Mus musculus: one gene and its partners. The main gene of each other region encodes a partner of the protein of the gene in region 3 in a complex. Links are inferred from orthologs where the notes say so. Each region holds a gene or a part of one and is shown on either strand. Other genes may lie near its edges. The genes, in order: Bad, Tpt1 and Bcl2l1. A codon is read from its position in the direction of its gene.

Region 1 (3,640 bases), on a different chromosome or scaffold from region 3:
GGGGCCACCCCCTCCCATGTTCCGGGAAGCAAAGAGTTGTGGCGCAACTTATCTGCATATCCAGCGCAAAGCACTAGCCTGGGCTATGGGGCGCCAATAAATCTCTGAACGGAGCTCTGGGCCCTGCTCCAGGTCCCTGTGAGAAGCTTCTACGTTCCCTAGCGATCAGTCTGCCGCCCCGCGCCGCCCCGCCCCACGTGTCTTGCCAGGTCCCTGAGCTGCGCTGGCCCCAGGCCGGTCAAACAGTAGCTGCTCACAAGGACTGACCCAAATAGGAGCAAATGACCCCCCTCCCGCCTGCCCCCCGGGAGCCGCGACATGGTTTGCAGAACGCTAAATTCCGGCGGCCGGTTGGACTGCGGCTCCCAATTACCATATTAGAGATAAGGGGCTGGCAGTCCCAAGGGTCTAGCCACGCTCCTCTTCCCCACCCAAGCCAAGCAGCCCGACTCCGCGGGTTGCCTCTTCTTCCTCTCAGTCCTTAGAGCTTGTTTCTTCCTCCGGTAAAACGAGTCTCTCTTAAAACTATCAGGGATAGAGATCCGGATTGCGGAACCCCAAACGAAGGATAGAGGCGCGGCGGCACATGCGCAGGCTTTATTATAAAGCACGTTTCTCGCGACCTCGGGTCCCCAGTTATGACAGGACAGCACCCAGACCCCCAACTTAGCACAGGCACCCGAGGGCAGTCCAGAACAGGAGAGGGAAAACAGCCACTTCCGGAGGCTTAGGGGGTGGGGTGCGTGGAAAACTTTGAAACTCCAAACAGGAGCCACCCCTCCGTGGCTATTGCACGCACCGGAAGGGACTCAAGCTGTACGTCAGCTCTTCTCCCTGTTAAAGGGACACAGCGATCCTCTTTTTTTTTCCTAAGGCCTCGAAAGACTTCCGCCCACACCCAATATGGCGGGCGACGGGAGCGGGTAGAGTTCCGGGATGTGGAGCAGAAGATCACTGGGAGGGGGTGGAGCCTCCTTTGCCCAAGTTTCGATCCCACCAGGACTGGATAATGCGCGTCCAGCCGGCGCTTTGTCGCATCTGTGTTGCAGTGCCTGCGCTCTTTGGGCGAGGAAGTCCCTTCAGGGAAGGAGGAGGAAAGAGTGAGCCTCATTCTGGCATCCCGAATCAGGTCCCCACCACCAGCTTGCTCTGCACTGGGCGGTCAGAGACACGGGATGATGCGTGTGCCGGGATCCTAAATGAAACTGCACAGCCAGAGATCTAGTGTTTAGAGGATGGGGAAGAACTCAACAATTTAAAGTAGCTTAAGAAGTTGGGGAGAGGCTCAGATGCCAGCAAGCCTCGTACTCTATGAACCTGGCGGTTCAGAAACTTTGGTGTGAAGTTGGTCTGTACTACAGATTTCGGTTCTCATAGCGGTCCGGCTGTAAGAGCTCTCGATTACAGGTGAAGGCATAAACCGGGACTGGGGACGGGGTCTTGGACAAAGGAGGAAGAGGGAGGAAATCCCAGCAAATCACTGGACACTGAGAGAGGACGGATTAGAACTGCAAGTCCCAGCATGCTCTACAACACAAAAGGGAAAATTGGTGGCTCTGAAACTAGAAATCCCGACATGCCCTAGATCAAAGGAGGGGTAGCAGCTGAGGGTTCAGGTCCCATCGCACCTAACGCTGGCGCTCACCTTGAAGGAACCCTCAAACTCATCGCTCATCCTTCGGAGCTCACGGCCGTAGCGCTGCGCTGCCCAGAGATTGGGGGGAGCCGAACGCGAGCGTCCTCGAAAAGGGCTAAGCTCCTCCTCCATCCCTTCATCCTCCTCGGTCCCCGCTGGGTACGAACTGTGGCGACTCCGAGTCTCCATAGCCCCTGCGCCTGCAGAGGTCAGGGAGTGGAAGAGGTGTGACTCTCTGGCCTGTTATCTGTTCCACAGCCTTAGTCCCTCCTTTGTGAATGCAGAGAACTCGGAGGGCTTTTGTGAGAAATCGGTTAACTTCCACAAATCCTAGTACAGTGCATGTAATGAAGTCTTTAGTGTACAAAAAGTTTACAGTGTCTTTCATAAAATACGGACATAAGCTATAACTATCACATGGTCTCATAGCAACCCTTACATAGAGAGGTGTCTTGCTGTGTCTTTGCAGGGGTCTTGGAAAACAATGGTCTGCGTCCCCTATTGTGCCTTCCTTGTGAGACAGTGTCAAGAACTGTCATCACTCATCCGTTTTATTTTTCTGAGACTGGAGTATGTACGTGCTAAAGTATCCTCCCCACCACCTGGTTCAACAGACACAGCATGGTGGCTTGAGCTGGGTGTGGTGGTTTATATTTATAATCCCAGAACTGGTGAGGTCCAAACCAGAGGTTTAAGGTCAGCCTAGACTACAGGAGAACTTGTCTTTTGCCTCACAAAAAAAAGTGTGGGGTGGGATGGGGGACACTGACCTACGAAGACACATGCACACAATAGCTACACAGGTGGTCAGAGAGGTCACATTTCCTCAGGTTAACATGGTTGTTAAAGGCCTGAGGCCCGAAGTCCCTGGGTTTGGAACCCAGAGCCTATCAGGCTGTGCAGCTCTTGCCTTGCCCAGCCACCCTTCACTTTTACTGAGGTTCTCTTCATGAAGGGACAGTCTCACCTCGCCTACATACTAACGCACCCCACCTGTGTGAAGGTCGCATCGGTGTGTAGACATGTCCTGTGAGCAGCAAGAGCATTGTGGGTGATCTCCTCTGGTCTGGGTATTATGTGCCATCCTGACGTCTGCCATCTGTACCCCTCTGTCCAGACCAGTGAAGACCCAGAACCACTCCTAGGGGCAGAGTCCAGAGCTAAGCACAGCCTGCTGCCCACACCCAGGTATCTGCAGGCTTGGGAGGAGGTAAAATCACCCACATGTTCAGGGGTTGATAAATTTGCTTCCCTCTCTCAAAGGTCAGCTGTCAAGACTCTGCAGCTCAGCTGTAGGATCCCAGCTGCAGACACGGGACAAAAAGCAGAGATAAGGGGGGGGACCCTTATGAAAGACGTGGCCAGGTCTGCTCCAAGCATCTGGCCAGGACCCAATATCATTGCTCACCTACAGAGTGCTTTCACTAGACTCAGTAGCTGGGTGGGCTCCCTTTTGTGATCTTGGACCCATTTCCCCAGTTCCTTGTCACCTCAGTCTTTGTCTGTGGCACAGGGACAGCCTGTCTCATAGTCACCACTCCACCCTGTCCTTTGAGCATCCATTGGTTTCTTGGCTCCTGTGTGGCAGATGTGGAGTTCTCCCATCTTACATAGAAGTCTGACACCGAAAGGAACATGCCTGCCTTGTGCTGGTGCAGCCCATCAGCACCGAGTAATGAACCTGAGCCCTGGAATCAAGGCGTTTGTGTGCTGAACTGGTGGTGGCAAGGCGAATGTCTTCCAGGTGGCCTTGGTTTGAGCTCAGCCTCCCCTCCTTCATGAAGAAGCAAAACAAGGGCTGGTGAGATTGCTCAGCCAGTGGAGGAGCACTCAGTACAGCCAGATGAGCTGAGTGGGGCCGTGGAATCCATGGAAAGGGAAAAAGAGCCCCCACTAGCACCCGGACACGTGGCACCCGCACCCCTTCCTGAACAAATCTGCTTTCAGAAGCTACGTTAAAATCCTTGTTTAGCACCAGGCATTGTAGCACTCAGCTTTAATCCA
Region 2 (4,246 bases), on a different chromosome or scaffold from region 3:
GCATTAACAACTGCCCCAGCCTGAGCTTATAACTGTCCTAGCATGTAGATGTACTCCCTAATTCAATCTGAACTGCCACAAAGGCAGGCAGGAAGCGCAGGGAGAGTTTCCTTTTGCATCCTAGTGCAAACCAGAAGAACAACCACAAACTGTTCGAGGTCTATCAGTGGATGCAGACCCTCACCGAGTTGGCAGCACTCACCCATCTTCCTGCCCACTCCAGTGCTCTACTGACAAACACCAGCTGTTGTCTGAATAACACTCCTACCCCACTGTCCCAGGCGGTCACCCACTTTCTCCAGTACATCTCTAAACTCACCTTCTACTGTGCTTACAAAAAAAGCCTCCAAAATCTAGGACAAGGAACACTGTCTCCACCAGTCCCTTATAAAACAGACATTTCTGTATTCCTTCTTACTGACCTCAGTAAACACTGAAACATCCTATTGCATGTAATATGAAATGGACTTGAACTACCGTGGGGCAGAGACCACACTCATTCTACGTGAGTTTATCCCAGGCCAGTGTCAAACTACTTACACACATGACCCTGAGCACTCTAGCAAGCCAGCTAATCTCATCTTCAAGCCCCTTTCATGTTCAAGGCTCTACTCTCCCACAGGATAAAGATCTCACAATCTACAAGGCCTGCCACCTGCAGATGGCAAAGAATCACTGCTGCACTCCCTGTCTTGACACTACTAATTTAAAGATACTTACACATTTCTCCATCTCTAAGCCATCCTTAAAGAAAATCATGAATGGAGTCACACCATCTTCACGGTAGTCCAGGAGAGCAACCATACCATCTGGATTCATGTTTTCACCAATAAAAAACTTAAGAAACACGTAACAAAAACCTACAATTAGACTATCTTATACACACAAATATAAAATCAAACTATAAAAAGCAGATCCAGAATAACCCCTGGCCAAAATTTGGCAAGAAAAACCCCTAGTTCTCAAAAATAACACATATGCTAGCCATGTTGGCACACACCTTTAATCCCAGCAATTAAGAGGCACTGGCAGGTAGACCTCTGGGTTCAAGGCTAGTCTGGTCTACAGATAACAGTCTCAATGAAAAGAAAGCAATGCCTATCATTTTAATACCAGCTCCTTGCCTGGTGTGGTGCTACACAAAATGGGCTGAGACTTTCATCTCAGAAGGCTGAGGTAACTGGGTCTAAGGGTGTTCCAGGACAGCCAGAGCCATGTACGAGACAGCAAACAGACTTTTTCGGATCCCACAGTTATTATACAACCCTTTGGTCCATTTACCTGGTAGTTATTGAAATTAGCAAGGATGTGCTTAATCTGCTCTGCAGCTCCAGTCATAAAAGGCTTTACTCTTTCTGGTTTCTGCTCTTCAAGTTTGCCTTTGAGTCTAAAACAGTAAAGTAACAGGTCATCAAAATACTGAATAATCTTTCAGTAAAGTAAGAATATAAGCTCCAATAGGTAATGTCTTCTAGCAAAATGATAGTTTACTAGGTGACAAGAAACCATTTAAAAGAATGTAATTCCTATATTACCTTTAAAGTAACTTTCTACCGGCTTGCTCACATTATTGAAAATCAACCTTCACTGTATAACAAAAGACCCTCCTTTCTTAAGCCCTTCCTACCTAAGCAACCAACTTCTTCTAGGAAGCTGACCACCAAAACGGGGTGTTTATGTCACTTACGATTTCATGTAGTCTTTGATGTACTTTTTGTAAGCCTCTTTTGTGAAGCTGGTTTCTTGTAAGTGATGGTTCATGACAATGTCAACACCGGTGACTACTGTGCTTTCGGTACCTTCGCCCTCCGGACCTTCAGCGGAAGCATTTCCACCGATGAGCGAGTCATCGATGGCACCCTCTGTTCTACTGACCATCTACATTTAGAAGAAAACAAAACAAAACAAAAAGACAATACAACTTAGTCGAAGGGGCAAAAAAAAAAAAAAAAAAAGAAAAAAAGAGAAAAAAAAAAAAAGGTCCGGCAACGATCAGTCAGCTCCCTGAAACATCTTAACCTCCCCCCAAATAGTCGCTGCCCGGACTGAGAGAGGTGGTCACTCTCATCAAGCGGAACCAAGTTGCTGTGGCCTCTCTCGAGTCGCCACGGGTTAAGCGCGCACAGCGCAAACCTGTCTTATAGACAATATGTCCCCGTTCGCCCGGAAAGAGGATGGCGCTGAGTTCGCGGACCTATTTCCAGGCTCGGCTCCGCCTCCACTTTTCTAGAAAAACCCAAGGTCCGCAAGAGCGTCTCCTCCGCCTGGAGGCGGCAGCGAGGATTGCACGAGTTCCAGCGGCCTCCCCGCGGCGCCCAGCCCAGCCCGGCCCGGCTCGGCCGACCCGGCAGGCAGGCGGCCAGCCTCCCCGCGCGCGGCGCCCCGCTCACCTTGCCCTCCACCTCCAGGCACAGCCCGTCCGCGATCTCCCGGATCTTGTAGATGTCGGAGAACAGCTCGTCATCTGAAAGCGAACAGAGAGAGCCGCCCGTGAGCGAGCGAAGGCCCGCCATTTCCCGCGCCGGGCTCGGCGCACGCGGCGGCTCCCGGCCCAAGCTCTGCGCTCGTGTCCCCGGCCTCCCCGGTGCCCACCCGCACCCAGGCCCGCGGGCGCCGGGACTTACGGCTGATGAGGTCCCGGTAGATGATCATGGTGACGGCTGGGGACGGCGGCGCTAGCCTGACAGCGCGGAAGCGAGCGCGGTGCAGCCGGAGCGGCGCGCGGGGGGAGGGGGGAGCGGGCGGAAAAGGCCGACGCGGGCGCTCCCCAACCTCATATAGAGGGCACGCTCGGCTACGTCACCGTCCGCGGCTCCCCCGGAACTGTCGTCAGCGGTGACGTGAACGCAGGGCGGTGCGGGGGCGTGGCTACGCCCGGCCGGCCCCGGGAGGGCATCCGGGGACTCTGCTGGGACACAATGCGGAGTGCCCCTGGGTGCGCGGGGCAACGGGGGCGGTGTGCGGATAGTGCGCCCGGGGCATGCTGGGACGGGAAGGGACTTGCGGCCGACCGATGGCCGGACGCTTGAGTCGCCGCCCGGGCGTGGCCAGGGTGTGACTGCGCCCCGCCTCCCGCCACGCCGCTTCAGTTCCCACCCCTTTCTCGGAAAGAAAATGTCAGCAGAATCGGATGACTGTTGTCGGGCGCGCCGCTGAGCCTGCGGGGACTACGGGGATGGCGCCGGGCTGGTGTCCCGGGTCTCCGACCTCCGGTCCTTGGCTGCCCACAGACTGCACCGGTTTTGCTCGCGGAGGGAGATGTCCTGGGGACTGGTCCTCTAGTGGGTTCCGAAAGTGAAAGCCTGCGGTGGGTCTGGCCGGACAGCTCTTCGCTGGCCTGTTCTGCTCTTGGTCGCAAACGGTGTCCTTTGTTAGGACAGTTCTGTATTGTCACTTTTATCCCTTTTATTCCTGGCGATGCAGGACTAAACAGACCCAAAATAAGGAGCTTCCCACTTGCCCGGGTCACTTGAAGGGCTTTCGCATCCACCACGAAGTACAACATACAACTTCCGAGACCCACCGTTCAGGTAAACATGTATGGCAGGATGAAATCACAGTTTCTTCCCTTCCAGATTTGGTTATAGTCCGTTGTAACCCTAGTGTTGCAATTTTCTCGCTTAAGAAGGACATAGCCAGCCCTGCCTGCCCTCGGACAGAAGGTTAGGTTAGTATGTCAAAGGAGAAGGCAGTTCACACTAACAAAGTGTTACAAGCACAGAGTAAACCATTCAGGAATAAAACTCTAGCCAAAGAGCAGAAGAAAAACCGTCCACTTAAGATGCGGTGGTCTGCTGCTTTCCTAGATACTCTAAAGGACACGGGGTAACAGTAAAAAAGTGAAGGACATCAGAAAACGTAGACATAGAACCGAGGGGCTATGACTTAGCAGTCTCAAAACTCAGTTATTTCTGAGTTATGTGAATCTTATTTGCACATCCCAGGTATTCATTTTCAAATTATTCAAAAATGCTCATTTACATAGATCCCCAAACATATTCTTTTTGGATTTTTCTGTTATTTTCTCCAGTTTTATGCCCAAATGTATTTTTTTAACATCATTAAAAATTTTTTTTTGTTTTTGTTTTTTCGAGACAGGGTTTCTCTGTATAGTCCTGGCTGTCCTGGAACTCACTTTATAGACCAGACTGGCCTTGAACTCAGAAATCCGCCTGCCTCTGCCTCCCAAGTGCTGGGATTAAAGATGTGCACCACCACCGTCCGGCTCATTGAAGAATTAAAAAAC
Region 3 (2,777 bases):
TAAATTCTGGTCCTCAGGTCTGTGCAGCAAACATTCAACCTCTGAGCCACTGCTCCAGCCCTAAGCGTCATCTTTTCTCTAGAACCATCTCTAATTCATGTGAAACTCTTGAGACCTATCTTAATAACGTTACCTCAGATTTGGTCAGTTTACCCTCAAGTCTGTCATCACGTCTTGCCAGAAGATACTGGATTTCTCATGAAAGCCCTAAGCCAACCAGCACCACAGACTACACCTATCTTCTCCGCTAGTCTTAAAATGGTAGACCTATGCTACAACAGGACTCAGGAAACTCTTGTCCAACAACTGTGACTGTTGGGCTCACCAGAATGTCAGCTCTTAGCATGTTCAATTAACACCACTTCTCCCAGTAGTGTACAGAAATGTGGAGACCAGAAAGAAGTCTGGGGCTGAAGGAACTTGGTGAGCCACCCCATCCCAGGCAGCAGAGCCAGAGCCCAGCAGTTTCCCCCTTACTCATGCGGCGCAGAGCCAAGGCTGTGGTTCACAGAGTCACAGACACCATTTATTACTGAACTGCACTTTCACCTTCACACAAACTATTTCAAAGAGCTGGAACAAGTGTAGGGTGAGGGGAGAGGAGGGACAGGTGCCCCTCAGAAGCCAGAACCCCTGGTGGGCTTCCCCAGGCAAGGGCAGGGAGGGAGCATCAGGCTGTCAGTCTCTGGGCACCAGCTCTCCACGGGCACGCGCACAGCAAGCCAGCAGCTCCTCACACATAAATACAGACACGCTTAACAAAAATAGTATATCATCTTCACAAGGAATAAAAACTAGTCTCGAATATGTACAGCAGAGAGCCCGGGGTGGCCAGAGCTGAGCTGGGACCCACAGGGATGAGACAGGCCAAGGGTGGACAGAGGAGAGAGAGGCCTGAAGGGCTCCTAGCCAGGCCATTCTGACCTTGGCAGCCCTGCTGCCCAGGCTAGGTGGGGCAGAGCACAAAGACAGGCCCTTGCCGTCCCCCTCGCCTGGGCTCCAGGCTCTTCTTCCTGCCCTTCCTGCCTGAGGTAGGGAAGCCCCTGGGGTTCCCACAGCTGCTCTGTATAGCTTCCCCTCACTTCTGGGCTGAGGCCAGAGTCCCTTGACCCTGTGGCCAACACCCAAGGCAAAGATGCCACAGGCCAATCTTGCAGGAAGTGAGGCAGCTGAAGTCATTAACAGCTCTGGGGCACCTATCTTGGGCCCATTGGTCCCTCAGTCATGGTCATGGGAGCCAGGGGAGGGGTGGACAAGGATCTTGGGGGGTGCTAAGCTGCAAGAGCCACCCTAGCTCTAGCAAGGTGGACTTTCAGCAGCTAAGCCCCTCCCCCTGGGTGGGGCTAGACTCTAGCCAGAGGCCTCAGGAGAACATTCAGACCACAAGTGGGGGTTTTGGCCAGGCCACAGGTGGGGAGGAGGTTCTGGTCCTTGTCTCATTATCCCAAGCAGCCTGAATTTCTAATTAGTCAAAAGGGCTAAAAGCACCTCACTCAATGGCTCTTGGGGGGTGGAGATGGGGAGGAGGGAGACCCAGAGACACAGCGGGATGGGAAATGATCACGTCTGAGGCCACACACATCAAAACCAAGGCAAGCTAGTCTCCTTCAGGGGAAGAGCTCCCTGCTGGAAAAGCATTCCCGAGAGGCTCAGGGGTAATTAGGGTCCCACCAACAAGACAGGCTCTCCTCCCTCACACACCCCTCTCTGCTCCTGCCAGCCTCCAAGGAGCTGGTTTAGGGGAAAACCTTGTGAGTTTTGAGGCCAAGAGAACTGAGATGTGGGGGGAAGGTGGCTTTCACAGAAGTGTGGTAGATCCTAGAAAGCTAATTGCAGGGGACTCCGTCTAGGCCCAACCCTGTGATAGGGCAAGGGGCGTGAGTTGCATGTAGTGGTTCTCCTGGTAGCAATGGTGGCTGAAGAGAGAGTTGTGGTGGGGGCAGGGTGGGAGGTGAGAGGTGAGTGGACGGTCAGTGTCTGGTCACTTCCGACTGAAGAGTGAGCCCAGCAGAACCACACCAGCCACAGTCATGCCCGTCAGGAACCAGCGGTTGAAGCGCTCCTGGCCTTTCCGGCTCTCGGCTGCTGCATTGTTCCCGTAGAGATCCACAAAAGTGTCCTATAGGGACAGAGAAGGAAAGATAGATACTGTGTGAATCTTTGAGCAAAATGGGCAGAATGGGGCATCTCTATGTCACAGCACTAGTGCCCACCATGGTTAGAGAAAAGGTTAAAGGCTGACCTTCTGAAGCCCAGCTGGGGAAGACCAACCCGGCTTACTGCTGAGAACACAGGTGCAGAGTGTGTTATGCCTTAAAAAGCAACAGACAGCTTGGAGCGAACACCAGCAGGGACTACTAGGAGACAGGGGCATGCAGGAGGTGGCACACAGGATGTCATCACATAGCACTAGAGGCTGAGTGGACACCAAGACGACTGTCAGGTGTCCATTACTAGACTACAGGGAGGTGAGGTTCTCAGAGCAGTTTCACTGGGGCACTCAGTTAGTGGTTTTGGGATGTTCAGACAGGAGATTCTTCCCCCCTGTAAAGAGGGCCTCAGCCAGAGCTGGCTAGTAGGTGGGGGAAACATAGCAGAACATTTAACGTGGACATAGAGAGGCCATTCCTGTCCCCACCCCAGGGCTGTCAGTCTTGAACCAAGGAGGAATGCTCTCTGCCACGAAGCTTAGTCATCAGAAGAGTACATGACTCAGTGGGACAGCCAGCACGTGGACACGATAGCCTTGAGGCCAGCAAGCCTCTTTCTCAGGCAGC

Evidence for each region.
Region 1: the proteins of Bcl2l1 (region 3) and Bad are in contact, whole or in part, in a crystal structure (PDB 2BZW), measured with the Mus musculus proteins. Residues at the interface, in NP_001276645.1 of Mus musculus: Ala93, Glu96, Phe97, Arg100, Tyr101, Arg103, Ala104, Phe105, Leu108, Gln111, Leu112, Gln121, Ser122, Gln125, Val126, Glu129, Leu130, Arg132, Asp133, Asn136, Trp137, Gly138, Arg139, Val141, Ala142, Phe146, Asp193 (codon at 2,107), Leu194 (codon at 2,104), Tyr195 (codon at 2,101), Gly196 (codon at 2,098); in NP_031548.1 of Mus musculus: Ala137, Leu141, Ala143, Ala144, Gln145, Tyr147, Gly148, Arg149, Leu151, Arg152, Met154, Ser155, Asp156, Glu157, Phe158, Glu159, Phe162, Lys163.
Region 2: the proteins of Bcl2l1 (region 3) and Tpt1 are in contact, whole or in part, in a crystal structure (PDB 4Z9V), measured with the Homo sapiens proteins. The link is inferred for Mus musculus from reciprocal best matches to the Homo sapiens genes BCL2L1 and TPT1. Residues at the interface, in NP_001304848.1 of Homo sapiens: Ala93, Glu96, Phe97, Arg100, Tyr101, Ala104, Phe105, Leu108, Gln111, Ser122, Gln125, Val126, Glu129, Leu130, Asp133, Asn136, Gly138, Arg139, Val141, Ala142, Phe146, Leu194, Tyr195, Ala199, Ala200, Ser203; in NP_003286.1 of Homo sapiens: Phe14, Asp16, Ile17, Lys19, Ile20, Arg21, Ile23, Ala24, Asp25, Gly26, Leu27, Cys28, Leu29.

The regions. Positions count from the first base shown.
Region 1 is NC_000085.6:6,948,836-6,952,475, reverse strand, and holds the end of Bad (bcl2-associated agonist of cell death), read right to left. Parts: intron 1,837-3,640; coding exon 1,646-1,836; intron 1,078-1,645; coding exon 952-1,077; 3' UTR 571-951; downstream 1-570. UniProt on the Homo sapiens protein: Promotes cell death. Successfully competes for the binding to Bcl-X(L), Bcl-2 and Bcl-W, thereby affecting the level of heterodimerization of these proteins with BAX. Can reverse the death repressor activity of Bcl-X(L), but not that of Bcl-2.
Region 2 is NC_000080.6:75,843,835-75,848,080, reverse strand, and holds the start of Tpt1 (translationally-controlled tumor protein), read right to left. Parts: upstream 2,826-4,246; 5' UTR 2,653-2,825; coding exon 2,625-2,652; intron 2,465-2,624; coding exon 2,391-2,464; intron 1,879-2,390; coding exon 1,688-1,878; intron 1,388-1,687; coding exon 1,282-1,387; intron 838-1,281; coding exon 721-837; intron 159-720; exon of another isoform or gene 47-158; intron 1-46. UniProt on the Homo sapiens protein: Involved in calcium binding and microtubule stabilization. Acts as a negative regulator of TSC22D1-mediated apoptosis, via interaction with and destabilization of TSC22D1 protein.
Region 3 is NC_000068.7:152,780,164-152,782,940, forward strand, and holds the end of Bcl2l1 (bcl-2-like protein 1), read right to left. Parts: intron 2,120-2,777; coding exon 1,982-2,119; 3' UTR 501-1,981; downstream 1-500. UniProt on the Homo sapiens protein: Potent inhibitor of cell death. Inhibits activation of caspases. Appears to regulate cell death by blocking the voltage-dependent anion channel (VDAC) by binding to it and preventing the release of the caspase activator, CYC1, from the mitochondrial membrane.